3 linked regions of the Caenorhabditis elegans genome follow. The protein of the gene in region 2 interacts with the protein of the main gene of each other region in a pairwise test. Each region holds a gene or a part of one and is shown on either strand. Other genes may lie near its edges. The genes, in order: metl-13, rpi-1 and pho-7.

What was found.
Region 1: the proteins of rpi-1 (region 2) and metl-13 interact in a two-hybrid assay, tested with the Caenorhabditis elegans proteins (one large-scale study listed by BioGRID).
Region 3: the proteins of rpi-1 (region 2) and pho-7 interact in a two-hybrid assay, tested with the Caenorhabditis elegans proteins (one large-scale study listed by BioGRID).

The regions. Positions count from the first base shown.
Region 1 is NC_003282.8:6,631,180-6,641,109, forward strand, and holds metl-13 (Methyltransferase domain-containing protein), read left to right. Parts: upstream 1-3,909; 5' UTR 3,910-3,912; coding exon 3,913-3,998; intron 3,999-4,236; coding exon 4,237-4,462; intron 4,463-4,536; coding exon 4,537-4,748; intron 4,749-4,793; coding exon 4,794-4,905; intron 4,906-4,957; coding exon 4,958-5,076; intron 5,077-5,122; coding exon 5,123-5,260; intron 5,261-5,308; coding exon 5,309-5,495; intron 5,496-5,539; coding exon 5,540-5,711; intron 5,712-5,970; coding exon 5,971-6,158; intron 6,159-6,205; coding exon 6,206-6,350; intron 6,351-6,404; coding exon 6,405-6,649; intron 6,650-6,699; coding exon 6,700-6,840; 3' UTR 6,841-6,976; downstream 6,977-9,930. Other genes in the region: cest-5.1 (Carboxylesterase type B domain-containing protein), read right to left, coding at 28-136, 186-292, 350-560; C01B10.9 (Bis(5'-adenosyl)-triphosphatase), read left to right, coding at 1,077-1,202, 1,252-1,421, 1,472-1,660, 1,719-2,002, 2,060-2,339, 2,671-2,791, 2,838-2,999, 3,067-3,339 and 1 more; C01B10.7 (TransThyretin-Related family domain), read left to right, coding at 7,400-7,492, 7,737-7,883, 7,939-8,085; kola-3 (EGF-like domain-containing protein), read left to right, coding at 9,001-9,058.
Region 2 is NC_003280.10:13,955,648-13,965,935, reverse strand, and holds rpi-1 (Protein rpi-1), read left to right. Parts: upstream 1-3,516; 5' UTR 3,517-3,555; coding exon 3,556-3,708; intron 3,709-3,758; coding exon 3,759-3,905; intron 3,906-3,954; coding exon 3,955-4,706; intron 4,707-4,806; coding exon 4,807-5,052; intron 5,053-6,642; coding exon 6,643-6,697; 3' UTR 6,698-6,813; downstream 6,814-10,288. Other genes in the region: W07G1.7 (uncharacterized protein), read left to right, coding at 169-277, 326-424, 929-1,045; Transcription factor zip-3, read left to right, coding at 9,972-10,062.
Region 3 is NC_003284.9:10,935,501-10,945,674, forward strand, and holds pho-7 (Lysosomal acid phosphatase), read right to left. Parts: upstream 5,856-10,174; 5' UTR 5,855-5,855; coding exon 5,684-5,854; intron 5,628-5,683; coding exon 5,541-5,627; intron 5,482-5,540; coding exon 5,326-5,481; intron 5,279-5,325; coding exon 5,190-5,278; intron 4,268-5,189; coding exon 4,177-4,267; intron 4,124-4,176; coding exon 3,990-4,123; intron 3,949-3,989; coding exon 3,861-3,948; intron 3,817-3,860; coding exon 3,706-3,816; intron 3,111-3,705; coding exon 2,967-3,110; intron 2,917-2,966; coding exon 2,842-2,916; 3' UTR 2,694-2,841; downstream 1-2,693. Other genes in the region: T21B6.3 (Apple domain-containing protein), read right to left, coding at 9,967-10,072, 10,127-10,174.

The sequences.
Region 1 (9,930 bases), on a different chromosome or scaffold from region 2:
GTAATATAATAATTAAAATTACCTTACCACGTTTCACAAATGTATCCAATAAAACTGTGTCATTAAACATAACAGCACTGTCATAAGTCAGTCCTCCGCCGTGAATGTACACTGCTATTGCACAATTTCTTGACTTCTGAAGAAATTTATTGGAATTTATTTATCAAATTAAAATGGTAACTTGCCAAACACTTTTTTGAAGTGAAAATATTAACATGTAGACAATCTTCATCAACCCATTTTTGAGGACTTTTTGTTTTAGAAGAATTCGACATACATGCTGGGCCATATTCTGAACTTTTAATTTAAAAATCGCTTTATATGGCTTTAATACGGTATAAGACCTCACCAATAGCACTTCTTATTCCATCCCATTTCCCGGCTGCCTCTGGTTTTTGAAATCTTAAATTTCCCACTGGAGGTTTTGCGAATGGAATTTTTTTGAACAAATGATAATCTCCTATCTCTGCACCTTCCAAATGACCAAATGAAGTGTGTATAATCAGAGAATCTGCTGCATTAATTATAAAAATTAACAGTAACAAGCGCAAAGTATTCATTTGAATGCTGTTGTTTTTAGTGAACAAGACAATCGATTATTTTTGAGTTCAATTGATAAGAGTCTGACTACGATAGTGAATCTTATTGACATATCACACAAACAATTGCTGGAATTTAAATTTCGTAGCTTAGTTGTCTCAATAATTCCGATATTATAACTCTATTTATATATGTCAATTTTTAAACGTACTTATCTTAAGATAAATCTTCAAAAAATTGCCAAACGAGTTATTTTCAGATTTGAACACGCGCGCTTTTTCTTCGGTCGGCCGTGGGTCGCGAATTGGAGAAAGTTCAGCCACGCGTTGTGTACTCCACTCGGACAACTGGAGTATTTATTTTTCTTCACATATTTTTTTTCTTTTTCTGCGGTTTCTTTCGAATGATTACAATAGTTTTTCATGGTTTAGTGAAAAAAAAATTGTTCGTGTTATCTTGCTTTAGTATCTGATTGCCATTACCAAAGAGCCACCGTTTTCAGGTTTTAGGCCTTCAAAAATCCGGATGTTTGTAAAATGTTTATAAAACGACTATTGTTTTTATTTTCCGCCATATCGGTGGTTTCTTGCCTTTCAAGACATCCGAAATTGTTGCTCATCTCATTTGACGGATTTCGATACGATTTATTAGATGAAGTATTGGTGAGATTTGCAGAAAATGCTGAATTAATACTTTTATTTTATTTTTCAGACACCGAATATTCACAAATGGGCGTCAATGTCTACATGGTTTACTTCAGGAGTGAAGTCGCAGTACGTAACGTATACTGCGCCGAACCATATGAGCATTGCCACAGGATTGTTCGAGGAAGAACATGGAATTGTCGGAAATTACTTTTTCGATGCAGATACCAAAAAAGCGTTAGTTTTTTTTTTGCTTGAAAATGTAAAAAGGACGTTCTTTTTTTCAGATTTGACTATTTCAATTCTACCGGAAAAGAAGGTGTCGTGAATGCATCACAAGAGAGTTTCTGGTACAATTCTGATCCCATCTGGCTTACGAACGAGCGATGGGAGTCTTCCAGAAGATCTGCGGCGTTTTACTGGCCAAATGGAGAATCACAGTTTCCATATATTCCCCATAAGCCTAAAATTGCAAGGTAATTTTAGAAAAGTTTATTTAACGAGAAGTAGTACTTGGACAATTCAGTTTTTCAGGCCATGGACAATTGTTGGTGATCTGAAATCATGGATGAAGGACGCTGACGACGTTATCGATGCTTTTATTCGAGAGAAGGAACCTGTTAATTTCCTCGCTTGGTATGTAGCAGAACCCGATCACACACTTCATGGAAACGGATTTCATAACAAGGAAATTGAGAAAACATTAAAGAAACTTGACGATCTATTTCTTTATTTTATCAAAAAATTCGATGATAATAATTTGGGAGCTGATGTGAATATTATCCTAACAGCTGATCATGGACATGCAGAAATTAAAGGTAATAATTTAAAATAGTTGAAATTAAAATCTTCATAATTCCTAAAACTAAATTCAGATCACAAACATGTCATGTGCGTGAAAGATTATGTATCTGGCGCTGGATTCGAAATGGGTGATCATATGATTTATCCACACTCGGATGAAATTGGAAAACAAATTTATGCAAATTTAACATCAGCAGTGAAAGAGCATGGATATGATGTGAATATTCATTGGAGAGAGGAAGTTCCAGAAAGATGGCATTATCGAAACAGTTCGCGAATTGGAAAAATCGTTTTCGAGCCGCAAATCGGTTCTTCGATTTCGTTTTCGTGTACGAAGGATCTTATGGAAAAGTATGTGGTTTACAACCGGGCTGTGCGGCAAATTTTTCTGGCAAACGTAAACAATAGTAATGCAGAAACAGGTGCATTCTATCTGAAAATAATATTTAGCTTTGTTGAATAATTGGAAAAAAAACCTTAAATATTGCCCGAATGTTGTCATTTGCAGAATAACTTTTAACGGCACTATTTGAGACCTTTGTCAAGTTTTTCAACAAAAACAAATATCATTTTTAGATGGAATGGGACATTTTTTCTTGAATTATCATATTAAAAAAAGGCAGTTTGATCCGTTTACCGGAAAAAATATTACAACGATTAGTTTATTGAAATCAACTTTCAGGCAATATGGAGAAAACGGAACATTAAAATTCAATTCATCAACTCACGGACAAGATCCTGATCGTCCAGAGATGAGAGCTTTCCTTATTATGAGAGGCCCAGCGTTTTCTGAAAATTATACGGTATAAGCTAGGCATTTTGAGAACTGTATGATAAATATTCTTTCAGATTGCCGATATTCCTTCAAATGTGGATTTGTACAATATAATGTGTCATGTGCTTGGTATCACACCAACTGAAAATAATGGAACCATGGAAATTGTGAAACGAGCTTTAAAAGAGAACAGATATTTACCAATGACACATGGTTTCGTATTTAATCAGATTACGGTAGGTTATTCCACAGAGTATTTGACTCAATTCTAAAGCTTATCAAAAGCACATAATTTTTCTTCAGGATTCATGGAGTTTTTCGCTTATTTTAATTCCTTCAATGTGTATTGTTATAATATTCTTCGCTTATGGATGTAAGAATACCGTACTCAAATCTGATCCCAATTGGGGAAGATCCGATACAGTTCAAGGATATCGGCCATTGAGTAACCGGACGAACGAAGGATTCGAATTAAATGATGATGAGGATGAGGATGAAGGAGATGGATTAAGGAATTCGATAGATTTAGAAAGAGGTGGAAGAAGGAGTCAAGCAGGAGGTGGTGCACTTGGAAGTGTGAGTTTTATATTGAAATAATCGGAAAATCAAATATCGCTCGAAATTATTTTAAAGAAAAAATAAATAAAAAATTACCCGAAATGTTCTCAAAAATGTGTAGATTTTCAGCTGAACAATGGAACGGTAGCAATGTCTGGACTACTGGATGAAATGAGCGATGATGATATTTGATCTTTTTAATATAACTTTTTGCATTCAAATTGTAAATATTTCTTGTGACCTCTTTATATATTTCCCCCATTGTGCCTTCGATTTCTCTTTAATTTCTGCAGAATATTCAAATCACAAAGCAAAATATTTATCTCTTTATTTGTCCTAGTCATCCTTTCATCTCTTTTTGATTTTTTTCCCCGGTTGTGGATTTTCAGGATTTTCAAAATCATCCAAAGACAGTTTATCAATTTTCAATGTGATATATTTTCAAAAAAGATTACTTAACTTTAATAATGAATGTTTCTCATATTTTTTACTTCTTAATTATAATTTTATTTTCTTTGGTTTTCATTTAGCCTCATGTTTTATTTCGAGTATTTAAAATGATTATTTTTCTAGTTTCTATAGTTTCAGGCCATGTCCGCTCCAAATGAGCCACAATCTTTCACGGATCCAGCGTACTGGAAGAACTTCTTTGCAAAACGAAAATCTCCATTCGAATGGTAATTAAATAATTATATTTCTTTGTTAAAATATGATGTCTTTCAAACAAAATTAAAAGAAAATTATCACATCACTATCAAGTGTTTTTCAGATTTGTCAAAGAAAAATTATCAATGTTTCGAAAAATAACTTAAAATATTGACCATTTTTCTTCTTTTTAGATAGAAATTTTTCCTCATCAACATACACAAAAATTGAATGCTTTCGATTCTCATGTAAAAATTTGAATTCTTTCAGGTACGGTGACTATAATTCTTTATCAAATGTAATTGATAAATATTTGAAACCGAAAGACACGTTCCTTCAACTTGGATGTGGTAATTCGGAATTAGCGACCCAACTCTACGATAATGGATTTCATTGCATTCACAGTATTGATGTAGAACCATCTGTTATTGCCACACAGATTCGTAAAAATAAAGAACGACTCGGAATGACTTTTGAGACTGGAGATGCTGCTAATGTGAGTTTGGAGAATGTCCCGTTGTGCACAATGAACAATTAAAAGAAAAGAAATTCGAAAATAATATGTTATAGCTATCCATGGCCGATGAAGCACATACCATTGTAATTGATAAAGGAACTCTCGACGCTCTTCTTCCACCATCAGCTTCAGAATCCGATGAAGCATTGGTTACAAAGATGTTCGAGGAAGTTCATCGTGTATTGGCTTCTGGTGGAAGATATATCATTGTCACATTGGCTCAACCACATATCACCGAGTTCTGGATTAATCACTTCTATCCATTGTAAAATATTCATTTTTCTCAAAAATCTGTAAAACGTTATTCCAGAAAGCAATATATCCTACGTGTTCAAAAAGTTGAGAACAAGGCTTCTGGATTCCCAATGCCAGTTTTCTGCTTTATTGCCACGAAAATGCGAGCACCAATGCCAAATCCATTGGTAGGTAGATAAATTGCAAATTATTTTATTTAAATAAAACCTATATTTTTAGCCTCTAGAAGTTCTTCGCTCCAGCTCCATCCGTACTGATCGTATCGATAGCACTGACGAATTGAAGGATTCTATTCGTGGAGAACAGGAGCTCTCACAATTCATCTACCTGTGCTCGAAGTAATTCATTTTAGTTTTTCCCTTGAAATTAATGAAATTAATTTAGAAAGCTGGACTCTGAAGTTTCAATCGACTTTCATGGAGCAGATCCATCATTAGGACCACGTTATCGTATCTGTGTTGTTGATAATCCAGAAGCCAAGAAGATTGACACATTCGCCGCATTTGTGGTTCCAATTGGACGGTTTGTATAGAAAACATTTTTAAATTCGAATTCTTATATTAATTTCAGTGATTCTGAATGGCTATTCGCCTCACCAAAGGGACGAAAAGCTCTTCGTGTTCAATGTGGCCGCGAACGTCTCGCAATCGTTTTCCTCAACAGAAATCAAAAATATGAAAAAGGAATGGACGGTGTGAAGAGTGATATTGGACATTTTGTTGGAATGCTGGATGTTAGACAAGATAATACTGGAAATGTATGTAGAATTGAACACGAAACATATGAAAACCCGATTTTCAGTACGAAATTCTATCCATCGGAGGAGTCGATGTTAAGCGAACCGTTTCAACGGGACGTTCGGATATCAATGGTGGTTGGAGTGTTGAAGAAGTTACTGTTGAAGGAAATCAAACTAGAAGACTAGTTTTTCTGAATACGATGAATCTGGTACAATCTGAAGCTTATCTGAAAAGTTAGTAGTTGAAAATTTCATTTTTCAACCCCCTTTAAAGAGTAAAATGGATTTATTACAACTGAAAAATCAATGAAAACTGAGCAGCAACGAGATTTGAAAATTGCAGTATTGTTTAAAGGCGCACATCCTTCTGTATTATTTTCGGTGGAAAAAGAATAACATTTCCCATCTTGTTAATACACGAGAGGTAGTTTATCAGAATTAAAAAAGAACGGTTTAATGATGCTCACCTCAAAATTTAAAATTAACATTACAGCCGGAAAGAAGAAGCAAACGGTCATAGATCTCGATCAATTGGCATGCGATTTCCATAGAATGATGATCGGATCCCTAGCCATCAGTCCGCAACAACCATTAGCCAAGAATGATGCTCAGTGTAAGATGGCTGTTCTTGGATTAGGTGGTGGACTTTTGACTGCATATCTTGTCAGACATTTCAAAAAGGTATCAATCAAGTCTAGAAACTTAACAGTGCTAAATTTTCGTTTCAGGCTCATGTAACCGCTGTGGAACTTGATCCAGAAGTACTCAAAATCGCAAATTCTCACTTCTCGTTCCCCCATTCGGACGCTAGAATTGACGTTGTCATCCAAGATGCTCTTATTCATCTCCAGGAGACTGCAAAGAAACCTGAAGGTATTTAAAATATCATGTTCAAATTTTATTTTACAAATCAATTCTTATTTCCAGAAGAGAAATACGATGTGATTTTTGTGGATGTTTCTGGAAGTCAGAACGCTGCTCTTCAATGCCCACCATCCGCCTTCCTTACCCCAGAAGCTCTAGGAAATATGAAAAACTCGGTGAAAGAACAAGGAATGATTAGTTTGAATTTGGTTACACGCGATTCGGAATTCGGAAAGTCGATTAAAAAGAATATCGCAGAGTATTTCCCAACTCTCTACACAGTTCTGTCCTTCGAAGATGTTAATGAGGTAAACTAAATTAATTATTGAAATTCTACTAGCAAATATATTTCTTTCAGATTATCATCGGTCTCAAAACACCCAAGAACACAATAAAACCAGTGGTTCCTCAGAAATTAATCAACACAGTTCGCAAAGATATTGGAAGCTATGATGAGGTTGTCGGTGCTATCTCAAACATTCGTATGGTTGATTATTAATTGCACAATTTCGTTTGTTATCTTGTTTATTTTCAGTAATTTTTTATTATATGTATTCGATTGTTCCCAGTTATTCAAATTTTCCCCCGTTTGTTGTTTCGTTTGTTCACCTGATGAATTTTGTTTTACACTTTGCAAACATGTCTAATGTTCTCACGGTGCAGTGAAAAACAACTTTGCAGGAAAAACAACTATTAACAGCATATTCGATATCTCGACGCGATCCTACTGTACTTCCGATGTAGACTATTTGGAATTCCACTAGGAAGTTGTGCAAATTATCTGTATTTGATTATGCGGCCAAAACTATTCTATAATAACTTTGGAACTAAAAAATATTTTCCGTCACAAAATATGAAACTTTTAATTTTTGATCGTCAGTTTTTCTACAAAATAGTATTCATTTTGGTAGTGATCTGTACTGCAGAAATAGATTAATCTCTAAAAAAGTTCAGACAACGAGTAATTTCTATCAAACTGTGTTTTTTAATCTTTTAATTTTTATTTCCGCCTCTCACCGTGCGGTTATAAAATTCATAAGTTCACTTGTGCGGCCATCATGGTTCAAGTTAGTACTGTACTTTCTCTATTTCTATTGCTAATATGTCTAGTTGATTCCAGTTCTGAACCAAAACGTACAATGATAAGAAAGGTAACTAGGGAAATTAAAGCCTTCCAATTAGGCCCAAAAATGCCGGCCTACTTCGTACCTACCTCAATACAATGAACCGTTTTTTTCTAAACTTTCACTAGTTGAACTTTAATTTAATTAAAACAAACTACTTTATTTACATCGCCTTCTAATTAGATGCCTGCTTTTATATACAGCCAGACAATAAGAACCTACGATTGAAGTTTCACAGAATTTAAACTGCTCGAAGCTATTTTCTTTTCAGCCAGGAGCTCGTCTTGCAATAGAATACTACAAACCAAAAAGTATCACACGTTATGTGAAAAATGCAAAAGGAGTAGCTCAAGAGCACATTTTCAGGGTGTGCAATGGGAAAAACAAGACGAAATGTGGATATTGGGAGAATGTGAAGGTTAGTGATATTTACTCATATATAATATGAACTCAAATAAAAAGTCTAATTTCAGACAAAGAAAAAAGTGGGACCAAAAACGACATATGACAAAAAGAAGGATATGTTAATTATTGCAAAAGTGTCAAAACTCGATGCAGGAACCTACATTACACCCTCATATGATACTGTTACTGTTATTATTCAAGATGATAAATTTTAAAATTTGAGTGTAATAAAGTGCTAGTAGGTCCAAAGTGAAGAGATTTCAAAAAAAAGTTCATGCTATTAAACAAATATTAAAGTTATTGATGATCATCCGGACTTCTATACATTAAGATTTTCTTTAAATGTTGTATAAATTTATAAACTCACTGAAACGGTATTTTTTTCTTTGAAAAAAATAATTTCAAGAATTGCGTAAGTTCCTGCACTAAACAACATCAGCCACCAATTTTTGTTTTTTAATAGTTTCCTATAATACTGTGTTAACAAACGTTGTTTATTTATCTGAATTTATAAACTCACTGAAACCGTAATTTTATTTTCAAAAGAAGAAATTAAAAACTTGTGTTGATTTTTTTTGATAGAAGATTTTGGAAACCAAACTAACAATTTTTGGAATATACTAAAATATTTTCTTTCTGGTGATATTTTAAAAACGACCATATAAAAGTCGTTTCTCCAGAATATTCAAGAATTGAGCCGATTTTCAGTAAAACGATAAAAATAAAAATGCGAAGGTTATCGATTTTAAAAAGATTTGTTTTTTATCCTTCAAAATCGGATATATTTTAATTTTAAACAAAATCGCTTCCCACTTGCTCTCGCCCTGTACCATTTCGGTGTCGCCAGAATAATGTCAAATTCAAAAGTTAAAATTACAGTTAAAACACTATACAATTGTTCCATTTTCATTACTTCCCTCAACAGCAGCGGGACGGTAGTGTTTAAGAGTGTTGGACTTAAAGGTGGAGTTATAGAGTCGCTTCTATTCATTCTTATCATCAAAGTAATAAATCAAATTGTGATAACAGACGAGAGAAACTGAAAAAGGGAGTCACCTACCATTTTCAGCTCCTCTTTATTTGATTTATTGCCTGCTGTAAAATTTTTTTTCTCATAATTTGGATTTCAGATGAAACTTCTCACAGCGGTATTGCTACTGCTGGTAGCTGTCAGTTCAAAGGCACAGGGTAAGTTTTCCAAAAGTAGTCCTTTCTAATTTTAAGAAGTCGACGTAATTTTTCCTTAAATAAAATACCTAGACAACTAAATGAAAAAGAATTAAAAACCATATTGTAACCTTACATCATAATGTTTGGAGTACCGCGAAGTATATCGTGCACAAAAATTTCAATACTGTGTGTGGCGTCACAATTGCTGAAAACGAGGTCGTATTGTTTTCATTTCAAGAAGGATGCTAGAATATAGCTATTTTCGGTTTCAAAATAATTATACTCAGAAAATATTCAATTGCTCTAGTTCAATTTATCCATTCATCATTAAATTATCTGCAATGTGAAACGGGAAAATTTTTTGGTATCACATTAAGAGTAAATAAATTTTAACCAATTCAAAGGGCGTCACCCTGTCGGTGCTCGCTTTACCCATCCGGTGGCTCGTTTCCTGCAATAAATCATTTCGATCACCACTGATTGGTAGCTGATGTAGAGAGAAATTTAACTGATAATGAGCTGATTGAATCGAAAAGTTTACATTCTTTTCTTTTTCCGATGAGTTTTGTATCATGGTTGGCGGAAAATAGAATGCAGAATGATGTCATAGGAATTGTATTTTTGAAAGAATCTAGGATTTTAAAACACAAAAATAAATAATGAAATTGAAGTACAGTCAAAGCAACACAACTGCTGCCCTATTTGGACTGGCTTTGAATAATATATTTATATACTGTATTCTGATAATTTTCTTAACTTTAGCAATTTTTTTGAATTTTCTAGAATTGCGGCTGCTTGAGACTTCTATATATATTTGACAATAATTTTTAAAAGGAAATTTCAAAGATTTAAAAAAATACTTTTCGGTAAACCTTGTTTCAAAATTTTAT
Region 2 (10,288 bases):
GCAAAATTACGTAAGATACGATGTGCGGTACGCAAACACGGAGGGCGACTGCAGAGGGGTGGGGGGTGATGTACCCTGAGGTGCCGGAAAGTTCTGAAAATTGGGGGATATGTGTAATTTTTTGCGGAGAATTTGAATTTGTAAATGGGGTTTTTCAAAAATTTCCAGCAAACTGGTCTCCCTGGACGCAACCATGGCCGACGGAAATCAAGCCCACATTCGAAATGTGCATTTTTCATGCGTTCCTATCGTGGCGAAGGCGATCAAAATGTGCAGTGTAATAGCAAAATTTCCAGAAAAATCGGAAAAAAATCTGGATTTCCAGAAAACATGCACGACGCAGATCTACAAAAACGAAAAATCAAGCAAGTCGATTGATCGAAGTGTTGGGTCCTTGAAACGAGTTTTGGTCAAAGAGATTGGGGTAATATAGGCTTAACATTAAGAAAATTGTGCTTAATATTTATGGTGGGCGGCATACGATTTTGTCCGGCAAAACGGCAAATTGCCGGAACTGAAAATTTTTGGCAAATGGGCAAATTGCCGGAATTTAAAATTCTGGCAATTCGGCAAACCGGCAAAGTGCCGAAAATGAACATTTCTAGCAAATCGGCAAACCGGCAATCTGCCGGAACTTAAAATTTCTGGCAAATCGGCAATTTGCCAAAAATGAAAATTTCTGGCAAATTGGCAAACCGGCAAATTGTCGAAATTGAAAATTTCCGGCAACTTGCCGATTTGTCAAACGGCAATTGCCGCCAACCCCTGATGTGCATGATAATTTTAAGAAATTGCAGTTAATTTATTATTTTGAAGAACAGAATTTGGGAAACAAATTTTGAATTTTTAATTCAAAAAAATTGAATATTGCAATATATTGGAACTATTAATCAAACTCTAATTATTGGAAATTTAAAAAAAATTCCAGGATTTTTCTTTCGAGAAAGCCGAGGAGAAAACGTGCTGCTGTAAGGATGCAAAATGTGCCCGACGAATGGATGCCACGATGCGTCTGAATCTCCGTTCCAACTATAAAATACATTAATTTTCCGAAAATCAATCTAATAAATCATTTTTCAAAATCGACTTACATTAGATATGCCAAAAACAAAACAAAAAAATTTTACCAAATTGTTTTTTTCAATTTAAAATTTCTCATCCCTTTCTAAAATTACAAATTTCCTCCCAAACCACCTACTAAATCACTTCAAAAAGTGTTTCAATTGGTTTTGTTTCCCACCAAACATCTGCGTCTCCCTCTCCCGCACACACTCTCCCACCGGCTCCGGAGCCAGCTCTTGCGCGTGCGGTTACCATGGAGATGCCCATATCAAAAGCGATAACGCTTTTTGTGTTTATGTGAATGTGTATGTGTGTGCACCACCACTTCGGAGCACACGTTTTGCTCTTTTTCTATTCGAAAACGTATAGCTCATTATCTGGAGCTCTCTTCGTTTTTAATCTCGTGACACTGAAGCTAATTATGAGTTTTATGAAATGATGATGATGATGACTAGACGAGAATGTACTTTTTGATCTGATATGTATACTTTTTGAACTTTCATAGTTTGTAGTTTGTAGGTTGTAGTATGCTCCTAAAATACCTGCCTACCTCGTGCCTATCTGCTATAGGTCTGTAGGTGTCGTCACATTACCTACCTGGCCACTAAAAGGCCAAAAAAAAACTTTAAAAAGCACAGTCCAAAATTTCCTTATTTCATAAAGTAGTTTGTAGATTATAGTTTGTAGTTTGTAGTTTGTAATTTGTAATTTGTAGATTGTAGTTTGTAGGTTGTAGTCTATAACAGTCCTAGTTTTTTCCTAGTATTAGAGGCTAAAAGTCTAGTGTATAATAGTGTACAACATGAATCGTCATGAATGCCATTTTACCTTAAAGCAGTTTATAGTTGTAGTTGGTAGTTTGTGATTTGTAGTTTGTAGTTTGTAGTTTGTAGTTTGTAGTTTGTAATTTGTAATTTGTAGATTGTAGTTTGTAGGTTGTAGTCTATAACAGTCCTAGTTTTTTCCTAGTATTAGAGGCTAAAAGTCTAGTGTATAATAGTGTACAACATGAATCGTCATGAATGCCATTTTACCTTAAAGCAGTTTATAGTTGTAGTTGGTAGTTTGTGATTTGTAGTTTGTAGTTTGTAGTTTGTAGTTTGTAGTTTGTAATTTGTAATTTGTAGATTGTAGTTTGTAGGTTGTAGTCTATAACAGTCCTAGTTTTTTCCTAGTATTAGAGGCTAAAAGTCTAGTGTATAATAGTGTACAACATGAATCGTCATGAATGCCATTTTACCTTAAAGCAGTTTATAGTTGTAGTTGGTAGTTTGTGATTTGTAGTTTGTAGTTTGTAGTTTGTAGTTTGTAGTTTGTAATTTGTAATTTGTAGATTGTAGTTTGTAGGTTGTAGTCTATAACAGTCCTAGTTTTTTCCTAGTATTAGAGGCTAAAAGTCTAGTGTATAATAGTGTACAACATGAATCGTCATGAATGCCATTTTACCTTAAAGCAGTTTATAGTTGTAGTTGGTAGTTTGTGATTTGTAGTTTGTAGTTTGTAGTTTGTAGTTTGTAGTTTGTAATTTGTAATTTGTAGATTGTAGTTTGTAAGTTGTAGTCTATAACATTCCTAGTTTTTTCCTAGTATTAGAGGCTAAAAGTCTAGTGTATAATCGTGTACAACATGAATCGTCATGAATGCCATTTTACCTTAAAGCAGTTTATAGTTGTAGTTGGTAGTTTGTGATTTGTAGTTTGTAGTTTGTAGTTTGTAGTTTGTAGTTTGTAGTTTGTAGTTTGTAATTTGTAATTTGTAGATTGTAGTTTGTAGGTTGTAGTCTATAACATTCCTAGTTTTTTCCTAGTATTAGAGGCTAAAAGTCTAGTGTATAATCGTGTACAACATGAATCGTCATGAATGCCATTTTACCTTAAAGCAGTTTATAGTTGTAGTTGGTAGTTTGTGATTTGTAGTTTGTAGTTTGTAGTTTGTAGTTTGTAGTTTGTAGTTTGTAATTTGTAATTTGTAGATTGTAGTTTGTAGGTTGTAGTCTATAACATTCCTAGTTTTTTCCTAGTATTAGAGGCTAAAAGTCTAGTGTATAATCGTGTACAACATGAATCGTCATGAATGCCATTTTACCTTAAAGCAGTTTATAGTTGTAGTTGGTAGTTTGTGATTTGTAGTTTGTAGTTTGTAGTTTGTAGTTTGTAGTTTGTAGTTTGTAGTTTTTAGTGTGTAGTTTAAGAATTTAAAATTTTAAAATTTTTTGTAGTCGCGCGTTGCACTCAACAAAAATCGGGGCTAGCACGATATGAATGACTGCCTTCTGGTGGAAGAAGTATTTAAAATATTTAAAATTCTTGGCCACCGATGTTTTTCTCGGCCACGTCGCAACTCCCGCTCTGTGACAAATTTTGAATGACGTGGCTTTTCCCAACAGCACCCCCTTATTAGATTCTGCTCAAACTTCCAAACTTTCCAAAAAAAACTTCAACAACAAACATTTCCAGGTGATTCTGATTCTGCAGTGTGTGATTTGTGTGCAGAATGCCAACTCCATCGACAAAAAAGAAGGTGAAAAAGGTGGCAGAGGATCCGTTATCTTCATCGGGAGTCTCTTCGCTATCCGGCATTTCTTCGTATAATATTCGCAAAATTTCGATTTATAAAAATGGAGATAGGTATCATAGAGGTGTTAAGGTAACGTTACACCTATGAGTTTTTTCAAAAATTTTCAAAAAGTTTTGTAGTTTGTGATAAATCCACGTGTGATAAAAGATATGGAGCCGCTGCTCAATCAGGTCAACGATAGAATCGAGCTTTCACATGGAGCCAAGAAATTGTACACTACGGATGGAAAAATTGTGAACTCGATCAAGGAGTTGGAAGATGGAAAGGTAAGGGTCGGGACATGCCTGCCTACGTGCCTATAGTAGGTGGTTTCAGATCTACGTCGCCGCGTCCGCCCAATTCATCCCAATGCGATATGGAGAGTTTGCTGAAAAAGTCTGGAAACCGCCAAGCCGAAAGCACAGCCCCATCATGAGCTCCGACCGAATAAAGACAGCAAGGACGCGGAGCCAAGATCCTAGTAAACGACGACAGCCGCAGAATTCTGGGAGCTCTGCTCCGACGGGCTCTGGTGTGCAGAGAAGTCGATCTGTGAGGACACTGGCGGAGGATCGGAAGTCTCGGAGAGACGCAAATCCAGCTCGTCCAAACGTCAATGGAGCTTCAAATGCTCCGAAGAAGTTTGATGGAGCACGACCGAAGGCTCCACCAGCAAGACAGACGATTCCAAAACCTAAGAAGATCCTTACAACGTCTACAACCAACAAAAAACCACCAACACCAAAGCGAAAAGTATCCAAAAAAGTGCTGGGCGCTGCTGCAGCGGCCGGCGTTACAGTTGTCGGAGCAGCTGCAATTGGAGCCGTGGCTGCCGCCAAGCGATCAACGCCGAAGCCTATTCCGACAGCTGTATCGGATGTTTCCACAGCTTCATCGATTCCTATACCGAATGTGACAGGTGCAGCTGAGATTCTGGAGTTCCCGGAGGAAGAAAAGAAAATCGATATGGCAACTATACATCGGACCCCAACGCCTCCAGTGGTCGCGTCGAGGCCAGCGACTGCGAAGGCTCCGGGGACACCTGCAAACAGGTCAGCGACTGCGTTGGAGGCTAAGAGTGTATCACAGTATGTTTCCTAGATGTAACCTAGCCGGAGGGTACTAGAAAACCATAGATCATGATCATGAAAAGATTATGCTTAGATCTTTAGAATTCTAAATTTCCAGACAACCAACTCCGGAGAGCTCGGAGGAAGAGGAGGATGAAGGCAATGGAGACGAGGATGACGATGAAGAAGTGGAGGATGATGAGGAGGATGCAGGATCGGATGAAGCTGAGGAAGAACCATCGGATGAGGAGGAGGAGGACGAAGAGACGGAGGAGGAGGAGGAGGAGGAGGAGGAGGAGGAAGAGGATGATGATGAGTCAAGAGTGGAGACACCTGCTTCCAGGAAGTCTTCTTCAGCTGTTTCGTGAGTTTTTTGAATGAGTTATAGGTGTAAATAGGAAGCTTTTGGCGATTGAGTATGCCACAAACTTTTATCGGAGTGCTTTACACTGCAACTTTTTCCTCACGAGGGACGAAGAAAAGTGGTTTCTAGGCCATGGCCGAGGGGCCGACAAGTTTCAGCGGCCATTTATCTTGCTTTGTTTTCCGCCTGTTTTCTTTTGTTTTTCACAGCTTTTTCCCGTTTTTTCTTATTAAAACTGATAAATAAATACTTTTTGCAGATGCTAAAACATTTTCCAAGTAAAAAAATTATGTATTCAGTGGGCAAGCAGCGGTGAAAGTGGGCATTGTAATATGATGGATTACGGGAATACAGAACCTAAACTTTTTCTGAAACATGATACATATGATGCTTAGATGCTGAAATTACCTGATTTTCATAACGAGATCGCTGAAAAAGTTTTGAGGTTTTCAAAATTCAACTTTTTGTGCGAAAATCTCGACTTTTTCACCAAAAAAGTTGAATTTTGGAAAGCTCAAAACTTTTTCAGCGGTCTCGTTATGAAAATCAGGTAGTCTCAGCATTTAAACAGCATATGTATCATGTTTCAAAAAAAGTTTAGGTTTTGTATTCCCGTAATCCATCATATTACAATGCCCACTTTCACCGCTGCTTGCCCACTGAATACATGATTTTTTTTAAATGGAAATTGTTTTAGCATCTGCAAAAAATATTTATTTATCAGTTTTATTAAGAAAAAACAAAAAAAAATCGATGAAAAACGAAAGAAAACAGGCGGAAAACAAAGCAAGGTAAACGGCCGCTGAAACTTGTCGGCCCCTCGGCCATGGCCTAGAAACCGCTTTTCCTCGTCCCTCGTGAGGAAAAAGTTGCAGTGCTTTAGAAAATTGGCACCTTACTGAAGAAACCTAGCGAATTTCTGACAGAAGTTGGGAATTTTTCTGGATGCAACACGTGATGTCAGACTGTCTCAGATCTACAAAAAATGCGGGAATTTTTTACCAGAAAAATTGTGATGTCAGCATGCTCGTAACCATGCGAAATCAGATGAGATGTCTGCGTTTCACCTCCCGCATTTTTCGAAGATCAAAGCGAAATGGGACTTTCTGAACCTAACAACTTTCTGAAGAAAGTCGGCAACTTTTTGAATACATCTAGTAACTGTCTGATAGCACGATAACAGTAGGCACCTTTCTGAAGAAATCTACCAACCCTTGTGAGAAAATGACAGTTTTTGAAGTTAGTGGACAGACGTGCATAAAATTTCACTAGCATAAACTTTCTCCAAAATGTTGTCACCTTTCTAGCGATAGTTGGTGGATTTTCCGGCCAACTTTCGGTTAGCTCAGAAAAGTACAAGAAAGCCTGGAAGTTTCAAATAGCCAAGATATGGGCGAAGTCTGTGTTCTGTAATTTTGTTTTTAATTTGATTTAGTTTTCAAAGGGTTTTCAGCTGAAAATGGGAATTCCCAGAAATGTAATATCTCGATAACTTTCCAAAATAGGCTCCGCCCATTTCTTGGCAGTTTTTTTCTAGTTGAAGAAAATCTGAAAATCTGAAAATCCTACTCTAAATAAATATAATTTCAGATTTTCCGGATCCACTGAAGAAGACCACAAGAAAGGAGATGAAGCCAAAAAATGATTGATTTCTCTGTGATTTTTTTTTCAAAATATTTTTCCCTTCAACTTATCCCTCTTCCTCGTCAACATTTTTCTGTCAAAAATCTCCTCACTTATTAATAAATGGCTAGACTTTCATCTTTCAACTTTACATGACTTTTTCGCAAAAAAATTTGGAAAGTTCATACATCATTTCAAAGTCAAAAATTTTGAAATTCTCTTATCAATTTTTTTTACAGAAAAAAGTCTTGAAAACTCACGTAACACAGTTTTGTTACGGATATTTGTTGCATAAAAAAGTAGGTAGGTACTAGGTACGTATAAGGTAGGTACGTATAAGGTAGCTACGTACTAGGTAGGTACTATGTAGGTACCAGGTAGGTACTTAGTAGGTACTAGGTACGTGCTAAGTAGCTACCAGGTAGGCACACCATAGACACTTTTTAGGTAGTAGGCAGGTACTAGCTAGGTATTAGCCAGGTACTAGGCAGGTACTAGATAGGTACTAGGTAGGTACGAGGTAGGCATTTAGTCACAATTGTTTTATTAATCCGAAAACTTTACTATTTCTGGCATTACACTTTTCACTTTTTTTGAACTTTTCAGTATCTACAACTCTCAATCAAAATTTGTTTTTTGCTCATTTTATCAGTACTTTGTTCGGGGGAACTTAACTCGGACAAGACGTCCATTGCTGACGCGTTTCTCGTGCGTACTTTGCAGACCGAAACCGGGTGGGTTGATGAGATCAGTGATAGACACCAGTTTTATCAATTCTGTCTCTTTGTTTTGTGTATTGATTTTTTTTTGAAATTTTTTTTTGAATAGAAAGTCGCAATTTTGAATTTTGCTTTAAGTTGGTATGATCTTTATGTTTTTCAAAAAGTTGTGGTGAATTTAGAAAAAAATAAATAAAGTTCCAGAAATGCGGAAAATGATGCAAAATCATCAGAACACACGATTTTATTTCTCTGCATCACTAATTCTCTTTAATGATAAAGAGATGGGAAAAAGATCAAACTATCACCACCTGTTTGTTTCCCAAAAGTCAATTTTGCAACAAAAAATAAATTTAAAATTTAAATTTTATCTGTATTGATAACAGATATGAAAAAGTTGTCAACTATCAAAACCTAGAAAATTAAATTTTTTAGGTACTAGGTAGGTACAAGGTAGGTACTTGGTAGGTACCATGTTGGCACTAAGTAGGGTCTAGGCAGGTACTAGGCAGGTGCTAGATAGGTACTAGGTAGGTATTAGGGAGGTACTAGGAAGGTACTAGGAAGGTACTAGGAAGGCACTAGGTAGGTACTAGGTATGTGGTAGGTAGGTATTAGGATAGGCACTAGGTAAGCACTAGGTAGGTCTTGAGTTGGTACTAGGTAGGTACTATTTAGCCACTAAGTTGGTACTTGGTAGGCACTAAGTAGGCACTAAGTAGGTACCAGGTAGGCACTAGGTAGGCACTTTTTTCTTGTTCCTGATCACCCAGAAGCCAATCATAATCCTATTACAGTTTGGTCACAGTTTAACAAATGATAAAAATCCTCGAGTCAACAAAAAGTGTAGTCAATCGTCTACCTTTTTTGCATTTTGTGCTCGATTTTCTTGATTTATTGATGAAACGTCAATAAATAATCCCTCCGTTATCACCACCATATTTCACTGAATTCTTGCATACCCCTTCTGTGTTAGGAGCCGCGCTGATAACGAGCTCATTGAGCCCTCCGGGGGCTTCTCACACACTCGAACTTGATTTTATTAGTTGTTTGTGCACGTTTTCATAGGTAAAATTTGAAATTCAGAGTAGCTTTTGGTGGATTTTTTAAAGCATTACCGGATGATGGGGATCTCCTGACACGGTTTGTGACAGTAGAGGTAGGTATTTTTAAGTGACAACATAAATTTTATCAGTTCTACGTGAACTTTTTGGTATTTTTATTGGTAATAGTTGGCCTGCATATATAGGTACTAGGTGGGCACTAGGTAGTCCCTAGATAGGCAGTAGGTAGATACTAAGTAGGTACTAGGTAGGTACTAGATAGGCACTTGAAAGGTACCACATAGGTAGGCGCTAGATGTGCACTAGGTAGGTACTAGGTAGATACTAGGTGGGTATATTAGATAGGCACTAGGGCGTTTTGGTACACAGTTGTAAATAGGTAGGTACTGGGTAGGCACTAGATAAGCACCAAATAGGTAAAATGTAGGTATTAGGTAGGTACTAGATAGGTACTTGGCAAGTAATATACAGGCGTTTACAGTCTTTCAAGCAGGCAGGCGTTTTTGAGACGCCTATAGGCACTGACATAGATTCGGTAAGGATTCTGTGTGACCTATTTAGACACTCACAGTACCAGCCTACCTCATAGGCCTACTTTTTGCCTGCTTGCCTACCTACCAGTATCAAAAGTTCATAGTGCAAGTGTGCTCCACCGCACCGGTGTGTGACCAAAGTGTGCTCTGAAATAGTGTCCTGTTGTTATCGGGAGAGTAGAAGAGTGAGAGCAACACAAAATGCACAGACAAGGCTCGAGAAGTACCTGTCTTCCTACAAATAATTGTTATCAGCACCGTCTCTCTTTTTCTCTCCAACCAATCAAACGGTTTCAGTTTTTTTTTCCTTTTTTTTCGGAGTTTTCCAGCCGCTTTTTATGGTAGTTTTATGATTAGATGAATTGGAATTCATTGTTTTTAATTTTATTGATTTTTTCATTTTGATAATTGTGAAAAAGTAATACGGAGTGTGTAAAAAGTTCAAAAATCCAGTTTAATGAAAAGTAGAATAAAATTTGTTTTTGAAATAGGTTGAGGGTTGTTTAAAAATGTTCAATATTTCCAAAAAGTGTCTCAAAAAGTCATACTAAATTTGTCTAAAACTTTGTAAAATGTTCTATTTTGAAAATGAGAATTTGTTGAAATATCTGTAAAGCAAATAAAAAAAACCAGAAGTGAAAATTTACAATTTTTGATTGTGTCAGCAGTTTTCAAAAGACCTATACTAAATTTTTTTTTTCATTCAATTTTGCTCCGTTAGAAACTTTTTGGTTTCAAACCATTTAGGAGCTACAGAACATTACTTTAAACTGCAAAATGGTACAAACATAAACAAAAAAAAACATAAATAAATTAAACGTTTTTTTATAAAACCAAAAACAGCAGAGATTTAAGCTATCAGATTTGAGTTTTTTTTTTGATTTTTATTTTCTAAATATTATATTTTACAGAAACTAAAAAAACTTCCGCACTGTAAATTTCCATTTTTTCCAGTGAAAAAACCTTCCCTGTCTCCAAAAATGCAGCCGTCATACGATGCGGACGACTTCATGCGGCGTGGATTTTTCGGCTCTTTTATCGGATTCCGGAAACGATCTTCCAGCAAACCAGGTGAGCTTTATGCAAAAAACGTCACTTATTCTCAAATTTTCTCACGCCATTTGATTGATTGATTGATTTTTTTTTCTGTCAAACCTAACTAATTTATCAATTTTGAAAATGTTAAGTGTTCTTTGCTCCGAGCTCTCCCTATTTGTGGAAAAAATTGCCCATTTCGTGGGCATGGCTTGCTCACCGATTTCTGGCTTCCCTCATAAATTGAAATGGAAGAGTTTAG
Region 3 (10,174 bases), on a different chromosome or scaffold from region 2:
TTTTATTCTCGTGAAGAAATCCGACAGCATTCAAATTCAAAACTCAAGTAAACCAAATCTGAATTGGCTCTGGAAGTAGAAACATTCTTATTCCTCGTTGAAAAAAATTTCATTATCACAATTATTTCATATTTCATTCGCTGTTTTTTATTTATTTTCAAAGTAAGCGTCTATGTACAATACACAAGTAACATGATTTTTTCTTAATTTCAGCAACAAATTGAAAAAAAAAACAGAATTGGGATTTCAAAATGTATTCTCATCAGAATAAACAATTCGTTTTACACCCGATATTTAACAACAAAATTGCTTAGAATTAGCGGTGCCATAATGAGTTTCTGAAATGGAATTCGGTAGAACCAGAGGCTTTGAGCGAGGTCTATTCATCTCGTAAAAGCTGGAATAGCCACATCCCACCCTCAATTTATGGTGTTCTTTCTAAATTACGAAACGAGCCGAAACTGAGACCACAATAATACTCCGAAAGGGTGATGCTGGCAATTACTGGAGAAAGACTCGGTGTGTGCTGAATCATAAAACAAGAAAACATTGTTTCGAGTTTTGAAAATGTATGTGCTTGTGTGTGTGTGTGTGGCAAGCCTAATCGGGTAATAAATGCAAAGTGCAACCGACACAACGGAGAAAATTGAACGGTGTTTTGAAAGAGAATAGGGAGAAAGAAGGAGAAAAATTGTGAAATGAGAAATGGCCACCCATGGAGAAGGTGTATGTCCAATGCAACTGAATGAGAAAATTGACGTCTCAAATGTAACCAGAGGCCATGAAGGAACAAAAAAGAAACGAGCAGCAACGAGAACAAAGGAGCCAAGATGTGCTCAAATTGACAATATTTTCATAATCATCTTCTGAAAAAACTATACTGAATAAACTCTGTTTTGCTCTTTCTTCCCCATTACTGAAAAGTGAAGTACGGCCAGTGGAGAAAAACTGTTCCTATGATACTAAAATTATCCCATATCCTAACAAAACTTTTCAAAAATTTTGCGACTTTTTTTAATTTCGAGCAAAAAAATGAACTGAGTTTTCATCACAAAAAAGTAATTATAATATTAGATATAACTGGTTTCATTGCATTTTTAAACTAATTTAGAGCCTGGTGAAAATGCTTCAAATGTTCTATCTGAAACTTTTTTCACTCAGCTCGATCAAACTTTTTTTTCAAATTGGAAATCAAATTGTGATCCGAGATACATTCCTTCATATTACTTCACAATAATTATCGATTAAAACAAATAGTAGTTATTTGTGTGCCAGATGTTATACAATAAACATGGTTGCATTCATCTCCATCCTTCAGTAGAACTTTTAAATTTTCAAAATTACAGTAATCTCAGTTATTTTTGCTCAATATTTGGCAATTGGCAGAAAACGGTAGGGCAAAAAAAACAGCCTACGAAAAGAAGAAATATGCTAAAATACTGGGCAAAACATCATTGTACAGCTAAGTTAAGTGGGCATTCAAATTAAGTTATAATCAAAGTTCTGTTTTACAAAAAACATTCAGTTCAGCAAATTTCTCTCCGACTCCAACAAGATCTAATACTAAAAAACTCTAACAGCACACTTACAGGTGAAACACCAAGTATAGTGTAATCCAAAAGCAAATCGAAGACAATTAAAAAAAAATACAATTTTTCCATAGAGGATCATTTTGACCAGATAAATTACATGAGAGTAATCGACAGACCGAATCCTTAAGATATTTGGATTACGATTGTTTGGTAACAAGTAGTGAGAATATACCTAATATTACATTTTTAAAGATATGTAATGTGGAAAACCACAAATTTAATGAAACAGAGGTGGTATTGAAAACGAATCAAGAAGAAATAGAAGCAACAACATGTAAGTACATTCAAGTGGATGAGTTCTTCCAAAACGGGGATGGTTGGCCAATTAGCGGATAAGCGTTCGCCCAATGTCCATGAATATAAAAAGAAGGGGAAAGCAGAAGAAGTATTTGTCATAACCATAATAAAGTGGCTGGGGACCAGAAGTACATTTAGACTTGTACAAAACATGGTGGTAATGTGCATAGTTTAGTTGCAGAAGATCGGGGGGTGTTAAAATACATGTGAACGCAGAGAAAACAAAGATTCCAACGGGAGAGCGTGCTTGCGGGCAAAACTTCTGTCGTAAGACATCAGTTGGGAGATAGCGCTGGGCACAAAATATATCCGGGAGAGAGCAGCGGGCCCTCTTCTCACCGCCGATATTCGCCATCATTCGCTCCTCATTTCAATTCGTTTTCTTCTTTCTTTTTCTACCACCATCACGCTTTTTGACTGCGTAATTTTTGCACGGACTGTGTAAAGTGTACCGCTCGTTTAACAATCGCAACTTGAACAATCCGATTAGTGGACAAAGAATTAGATATTCCATAGAGCGCGAAAGTGGGCATTGGTACAAGATCAATTACATAATGAATGAAAGTTACAAAAAGTAGTTACCAGGGATACCAGTTACTATTAAAACTACGCAAAAAATATGTAAGATTAATGTGGAACTTACATGAACTAATACTAATCAAAGACTTATAAAAGAGTTTGAAAGTGAAATGTATCGTAAGTCTTGAAACAATCATTATTTTCAAAGCTTATAAAAAATATGTTCTGCAAAATAAATTTCTCACAAGATTTTTTTTATACGGTTTTATAGCTTAGAAGTTTTTTTTTCAAAAAAGAATTTATCCAAAATTTGAAAAACAGTCAAACAAAAAATAAAATACTGGCAGGAAAAAATAAGTTGAAAAATAATCTCGAATGTTATCAGCTAAAACCAATTTTTCGAGCAATTGGAATGTATATGTACAGCGATAAATCACAAAATCAAAAGCATGACGAAAATGATGGCAAAAATCAAGGTTGACTGACGGGAGAAGGCTGATTCGCATATCTACAAATTCAATATATTTCCAACGGACACTGACCACCCGGTTGTCTTACATCTTCCAAATGCTCAAGACTCTTGACTCGTACACCATTCACCGATTTGATGAATTTGGAAAGATGACAATCAGTCGAACATCCTGGAACAAACATTTCGTGCACGTCATCTGGGTTTTCTGTTGTCGTGTTGCGAAAGTATATCTAAAATTAAATGATTCTGAGTTTGAATTGTGTAATTATTTATTGCAGCCAGAATAATTGGAACATAGTATAATCTTCATTTTCCCTTTTGAATATTTAAAACGAGAACTATTTTTCATTATTTGAATAGTAAATTACTCTTTCTTTGCGTGTGGAGAATGTACTCCATAATTAACTTTTGGTAAAAGCAAGTTGACGAAAAAATTAATAATATATTCAACATTTTAAGAATTAATAAGTGAATATTTTGTAGATTTTTCTGGCTTGGAAAAATATTACTTTTGAAAAATACCATTTTGAAAACCATTTTTAATCACTTTTGGATAAAATTTTTTTTAATTTTTTGATATAAAGTAATTTTCGAAAGGTGTTTAAAAAATTACCATGCGCTCTTCTTCAAAACGAATTCTAAGGTTTAGAAACCCTGGAACTTTTGAATTACCTGCGAGCAATTTTAGCAATACGTTCCCACATTTTTAATGATTTCAGAGAAATATGTAGTTTACGAATTTTCTAAAAAAAAACTTTAAGGTGTCCTTTTGGTCTCTATATACTAAATACTTTTTTGGATACATGATCAATTTACTTTACAAACCTTTACATTATTTCCTGTGTGCAACTCAATCATAATACAAGCAGTATATGGAATCAATTGATGATTACTGATTCCCAATCCATACATGAGAGCAGATAATGTTCCGTCGTGCTGAATTTCAAATTATAAAATTAACAATTACAGTTGTTTATTACCGACGAATATAGTAACGCTTTTTTTGGGCTGATATGTTGCGAAGCTAACACCAAGCTTTCAGTCCAACTGTTGATGAGGTAGCCCGCCCTAAATCAAAAATTCATACTGTTTTATACAAAAATACTTACATGAACTTTGCTTTTGCTCTGCTATTAAACAACTGTAATCTCGCGATTCTTCTTATTTCTGCAATGGTATCGAGAAGGCTCTTTCCATTTACTTTTTCATCTATCCAGTTAGGAAAAGGAAGCCCATTGTAGTGCTGCAATTATCATACTGTAAACGATCTTCTCGAAATAGCGTAATACGACTAACTTCCAGTATGACATTGTAAACATCTTTGATATTTCCGTATTTTGTTTGATGAGAAGTGTGATTTGAAATAATTTCAAGTTCCCTCTTGTATCTGAAAATACTAATATATAGAAGCTCTTATGCAGCAATCGGTCTTTTGTTTGGTAAAAGTTGACTATCATTTGTAGATTTTTTGTATATATTAGTGAGATTAAACAAGAAAGTATAAATGAGTTTTCGAGTATACTAAAAAACCTAATTGAAAATAACTTGGTTAAAAAAATTGACAAAAAAACACAGTTCAAGTGATATGTCACCTTTAAGCGACGATGATATTCTGGAGTGAAGGATTTACAAAGCTTTTTAGCTTTTTAGTCGAGAATTCACAATATTTTTTACTACTTTCACACTCAACATTGAAAAAAAAATCACGAAAAATAGTTCAAACACGTCAAGAAATTGAAAAAAGCTTACAATTTTCACTATGGGAAATTAAAACTAAATTGCTATTTTTCGAAATTGGTAGTAATAAAAAACTACAATTGATATTATTTTTGGTCTGCAAATCTTAAATTCAAAGTTAAATTTGTAAAATGTGAAAACTTCATCAATATAGAAAAAAAGGCATGTTTTTTTTAAACTACCGTATTTCCTCTATTAGTAAGGCATGCAAGCAAAAATTGTCCGAGTTGTACTCATATTTTGCCTATTTTGACTTGTTATACCAAGTCTGTAAAAGTTTTCCTAACTTTTAGAACGATTTTATAATGCAAATTTTGAATTCCTAAAAATAGGGAACAAATGAAGGGGAGCAAAACTATTAAAGGTGCAAAACTAATAGAGTGTGCAAAACTAATTTTCGATTAGTGATTTTAGATTCAAAACTAATGGAGGTGCAAAACTAATAGAGGTGCCTAACTAATAGAAGAAATAGTGTATACCACTTACTAAAATTTCAAAAACTAAAAACCCCCCGGACTCTTACTATTGGCAACAGAAATGGATAAAAATTCTCAAAACGTTAGGAAACTTACTTTACATTGATTTCTGATTCGATTTTCTTTCTTTCTTCTGCAACTATTCTCTGATATGCAGGACATTGAATTTTGCTGGGACGTAACATCTGTAATTTTTTTTAATTCACAAATTTTTCCTGACTTGATATCATACAGGATCAGGCTTTCCATTTGTTCTTATGGGAATTGGTTGCCAAAATCTAAATTTTTCTTCGTTCCAAACTTGCAATCCATCTGGTGGAAATAAGGCAGTCGCCACTGACTGGGCAGTTTCAATCGCACGATCCGCGTCAGATGAGCGAATACTTATCTTAAATAAAATCAAGTGGTTCTATGCATCGCTGCAAAATAAACATTTATTTTTCTCACCTTTTTTCGGTCAAACACGGGAAGTACTGACCCTTGATAGCGTCGTCGTAGAAATTTTCCGAGTTTTGTTGCTTGGTCGATGCCAACCTGCAAGTGAAACAGAAACGAGTGGCGTGTATTTTTTTTAGATTCCAAAAACCAACATTTGTCAGTTGGTTCCATCCGCGGGGCCAGAATGTCTCGTTGTGAGGGTCGCTTGGATATGGTAGGTTCTCCGGTGCTCGATCTCCGTGTCTCCAAACGGCTAGTAGAAACTCAATTTCAGCCGCACAGGGTAACAGTAGAGAACAACAAAATAAGTAAAAATGTTTCATTCTGAAATGATTATGGTTTTTTTTTAAATTTGAAGGAACACTTTTTTAAACAATCACATGAGAATGACAGAGAATCAAGTTAAAACATTTTCAAAAGTTGTAAAAACGTAATTGTTAAATTCAAAACAATTTCAATTGAATTTTTGTACTGTTTACGTGTGATAGAAACTGTAATACTAAGACTATAAATCATAGGCTAAAGACAGGGAAAGAAAAAAAAATCGTAAATTCATACTAAACAATTATTTTTTTCATACATATATTTTTGAACTGAAATTTTTTGGCGAATTGCCTTTTTCGTACTTTGTATTGTTTTCCTATATTTTTCTAAATTCTGTAAAAACAAAATTTTTACAATTAACAAAATACCTAAGTACTGAATTAGAGTAGACTGAATTAAAATTCCTGTTTGAGAAGTTAAAAAGGAAATGCGTTACAATTGAGCAACGATCATAAATTCAACACTTAACAAATACTAGCTTCATCAATGACATACTAATAACTGACAAACTTGAGAAATCAAAAATCTAACCTGTTAATAAGGAAATTCCGATAAGCTATGTCTCATCCCTTGGAACATCTTTTAATCCTATCAATTTCTCAATATACTACCGAAAAACTCAACAAATCCCCCAAACAGAAATGCGATCAAGCACGAAATGTGGCTATGAAAAAGCAAAAACAATTTTGTAGAAACAAGCAAATATATTGAAAGTGTGTTTGTGTAGTAACATCTCATCATCCAACGTGATGTTGTTAAACTTCATTGTTGTGACTCGGCGACAGGCTTTTGAGAAAAATTGGGAGAGAAGTGGGGAAAAATGATAAGCCATGTCTTCCATCATTTTTTTTCGGTTTGGTCTCCAAGTATTTTTCATTTCGTCTCAAAGGTTATGAGAAGATTGAGCATGAAGAAAAAAGAAAGACAAAAGAGCAATTTTATTGAGAGCCAAATAACTTGATTGAACATGTCATTCAAATAAACTAGTCGATGAAAAAAATGGGACAAATGCATCACCTGTTGTTGCTGATCCCAACGATTCATCTTCACATTCACTCTCTAATTTACAAATTAATGATCCTAATATTTTTACAAATTGCTTTGTCTGATTTCATGAATTTAATGGTTTTTTTTTAGATGTATACATACATATTTGTGTTTCTTTCTAATTGTTAGAAATAACCGTAATTTAAAGTAAATGTGTATTTATACGGGACACGGGTGGCTAAGTGTTAGTGGTGTAGTACTGTCACCCAAGAGGTCTCAAGTTCAAGCCCCCCTCACTTGGAAAATTGCTTGGAAATTGGTGGTGAATTTGGTCCACGAAAGGTAAATGGGCCATACCACTAGTCCCGATACGGCTTAAATTAAGACTAGAAAAGATATAAATGCCATCAGTAACCCTCATAAATCTCTTGTTCGCAGGAGGCTTTGTAGGCTCACCCTTGAACCAAACGGACAACTTTTACTTTCGGTGTTTTAGATTGGAGGATAAATTTTGGGAATATTTTGTTAAGCTACGAACAAAAACTCAAATATGGATCAGCATTTCTGCAAGGGTTTGTAATTGAATCTGTTGACAAAATATATTGCATTGTTGTACAGTTCAATAAACCTTTTTTGATGTATTAAAATATTTGAAATATTTAATTCAAAAGCTATTTTTAAATAAAATTATAAAAATTCTTCAACGTTTTAGCAAACACATTCAAAATGAAAAGGAAAGAAATATAACTTATCGCATGTTCCCAGAGATTCAAAAACCGATTATCGCGGCAGAATCGTTGACGGTTTTTCTTGAAAGTTGATAAAATGCGGAAAAGATGAAGTGCGCGGTAAAAAATGAGTTCTATATTAGTGTCTGCAAAAAGGTGTCGGACCCTAAGAAGTACAGATACAAAGATCAAAGATAGTTAGGTTAGAGACGATTGATACATTGTTAAAAAAAAAAGTGATAAAGTGATGAGAATATGTAGTAACAGTTTTTCGTATTTTGGTTATGCTTCAGAAAATACGAATGTGTAGGTGTTCTTGATATATATTTATAAATAGGTTAGGTACTGAACAATGATTCATCAATGGATTAGAACGGCTTATTTGTGATTTTACTATGTTGCAAAATTTCCATCATGACACATTATTGACGAATAGTTCAGTTATAAAATGGATATCTAATCTAGGAATGGTCAAGATACGAGCAAAAAGCATAAAAACATTTCCTTGAAAAATTACACTTGAGAGTAATATTAGAAGTCGAACGTCTTCACAAAAACGCGTTCATTTGCTGTTCGGCCAGAAAAGTACTAATAACAGGAAAGCGATTAGTTCAAAAGTAATTATTCAAACTCTCTGGTATGATGTATTAATGGAAGCCTGGAAGGAAAAATAATTTGATTAACCAAAGTCAATATTACAAAAACGATGTCAAATCGCTCGCTCTTTGATTTCCCCGTTTTATGATTCCCGCGGTATTATTCCCGCGGTTTCCATTTCATGACCGCCGTCGCCCCATCATTTACATAATTCGATCAACTCTTCCGTATATAAGACTATTTCTTGGCCTCTTGCAGCACCCCTCAATCATTCAGTCAATCATTCAACCAACTTGTATTTGCTATTATTATTTAATAAATATTACTTTGGGAATCACGTTTAAGATCTTAACCTGTCCTCAGGACAATAACGATGATGTCTGAAAATATAAAAATAAATATCTGTATGTACAAAAATAACCAAGCTTTATGAATGCGATCTTTTTTCCAACGCTAATATTTTTCTTCTCACGTTTCTGAAAAAACCCGTTTGAAAATAGAATTTATCATTTATATATTTTTTAACTTGTAACACTGTTTATGTTCTTTATGCATATTGAAACTGTTTCAGTACGTACCGAATCTATAGACGCGCCGAGGCCAATAATCGATAATACAACGAGGTGGTCCATATTGTGCGAGTAACTTGTGACTACCTGTAAGAAAACGGGCTAAACGGAAGAACAACGTTCAAAAAATAATTCATCCCTCCAAAATCCACAACAAACGGTTTGCAATGTATGCATATTTATTTATAGGCGTTTTTCAAATACATTGGGTACATAAGAGATCTTGGTCAATCTTTCACGAGAGGAGAGTAGAAAAATATGTTATAACATCACATTAAGAGAATAATCTGGTGGAAAAATCAAAATAATCACTAGTAAAGGTGACGAAAAAAAAAAATTTAAATTACAATTTTTTAATTGCCGAAGAGAAACTTGTTTTGAATTCAGATAGGGCAAGAAAATATGGAACATTTAGTAAAGAAACTATTATAGGAATCGGAAACTCTGACACATCCTTCAAGATCTACATGGAAAGTAAGATGTGCCACAAATGAAGATGTCGAGGAAAAGGATTTTGTTCTTGAAGGATTTTGACGATGGCAACAAGAAATATTGGGTATTGCACCCTTGTAGTACAACGAGTACATATGTTCTATCATGTTTAATCAATGAGTTGTATGAATCTCCTAGAAGGGGGAGATAATTTAGATAATGGAGGGGTGCATATACTACATAACAATTAAAAATAGCATTGATCCCATGTTATCTTCTGCTGACAGTCTAAACAACTGATAATTGTATACCTGCATCTGATTCTATTTTTAGTTTTACCTATAAATCAGCAAACTTGGTTAATAAATACCAATATACTTTAATGAAAATTCGTGTTAAGGAGTGGTTTTCTGAAACTGTACAACACTTTGATTGAAAGCTTGTTTGAATGTTAACTGGCTTGTATGTTTTGATGTTATATTCAATGGGCTGTGAAACAACTTTATTGTAGAATTTAAGAATAAAAATTTAAACCACATTGAAAATGCAAATTATGGCAGTGAATGCTATTAAAACATAAATTTCAAAGATAAAACAAACTTTAATTTAACCTATCGTTGAAAGGCATTTGCATAATGGAAGACGTGAAAAATACAATTAATTGACTAGATATAGAGATTCGACTATTTGAGGCGGTGTTGTATGAAAGTATTGAATATAAGTACAAATTGAAAAACATAAATATGAAAGAAATGGGCGATGTAACCCTGTCTGACTGATTTTTTTTAACACAAAAAATTAGCATGGTGGCTTTGGTGGGCACTGAGTCAATCCACGGCATTGCTGGGATTCTTCGGCAAGACCGATGCAGTGACATCCGGATTCTCCAACACATTGACGGCTTCTGTAAGATATAATTCAGATTCTTAACATGTCTTCATCAAAAACTATTTCAGACCTAGATTGTACTCCAACTTCGCATGCAAGTTGTGTTGAGCATGGACTC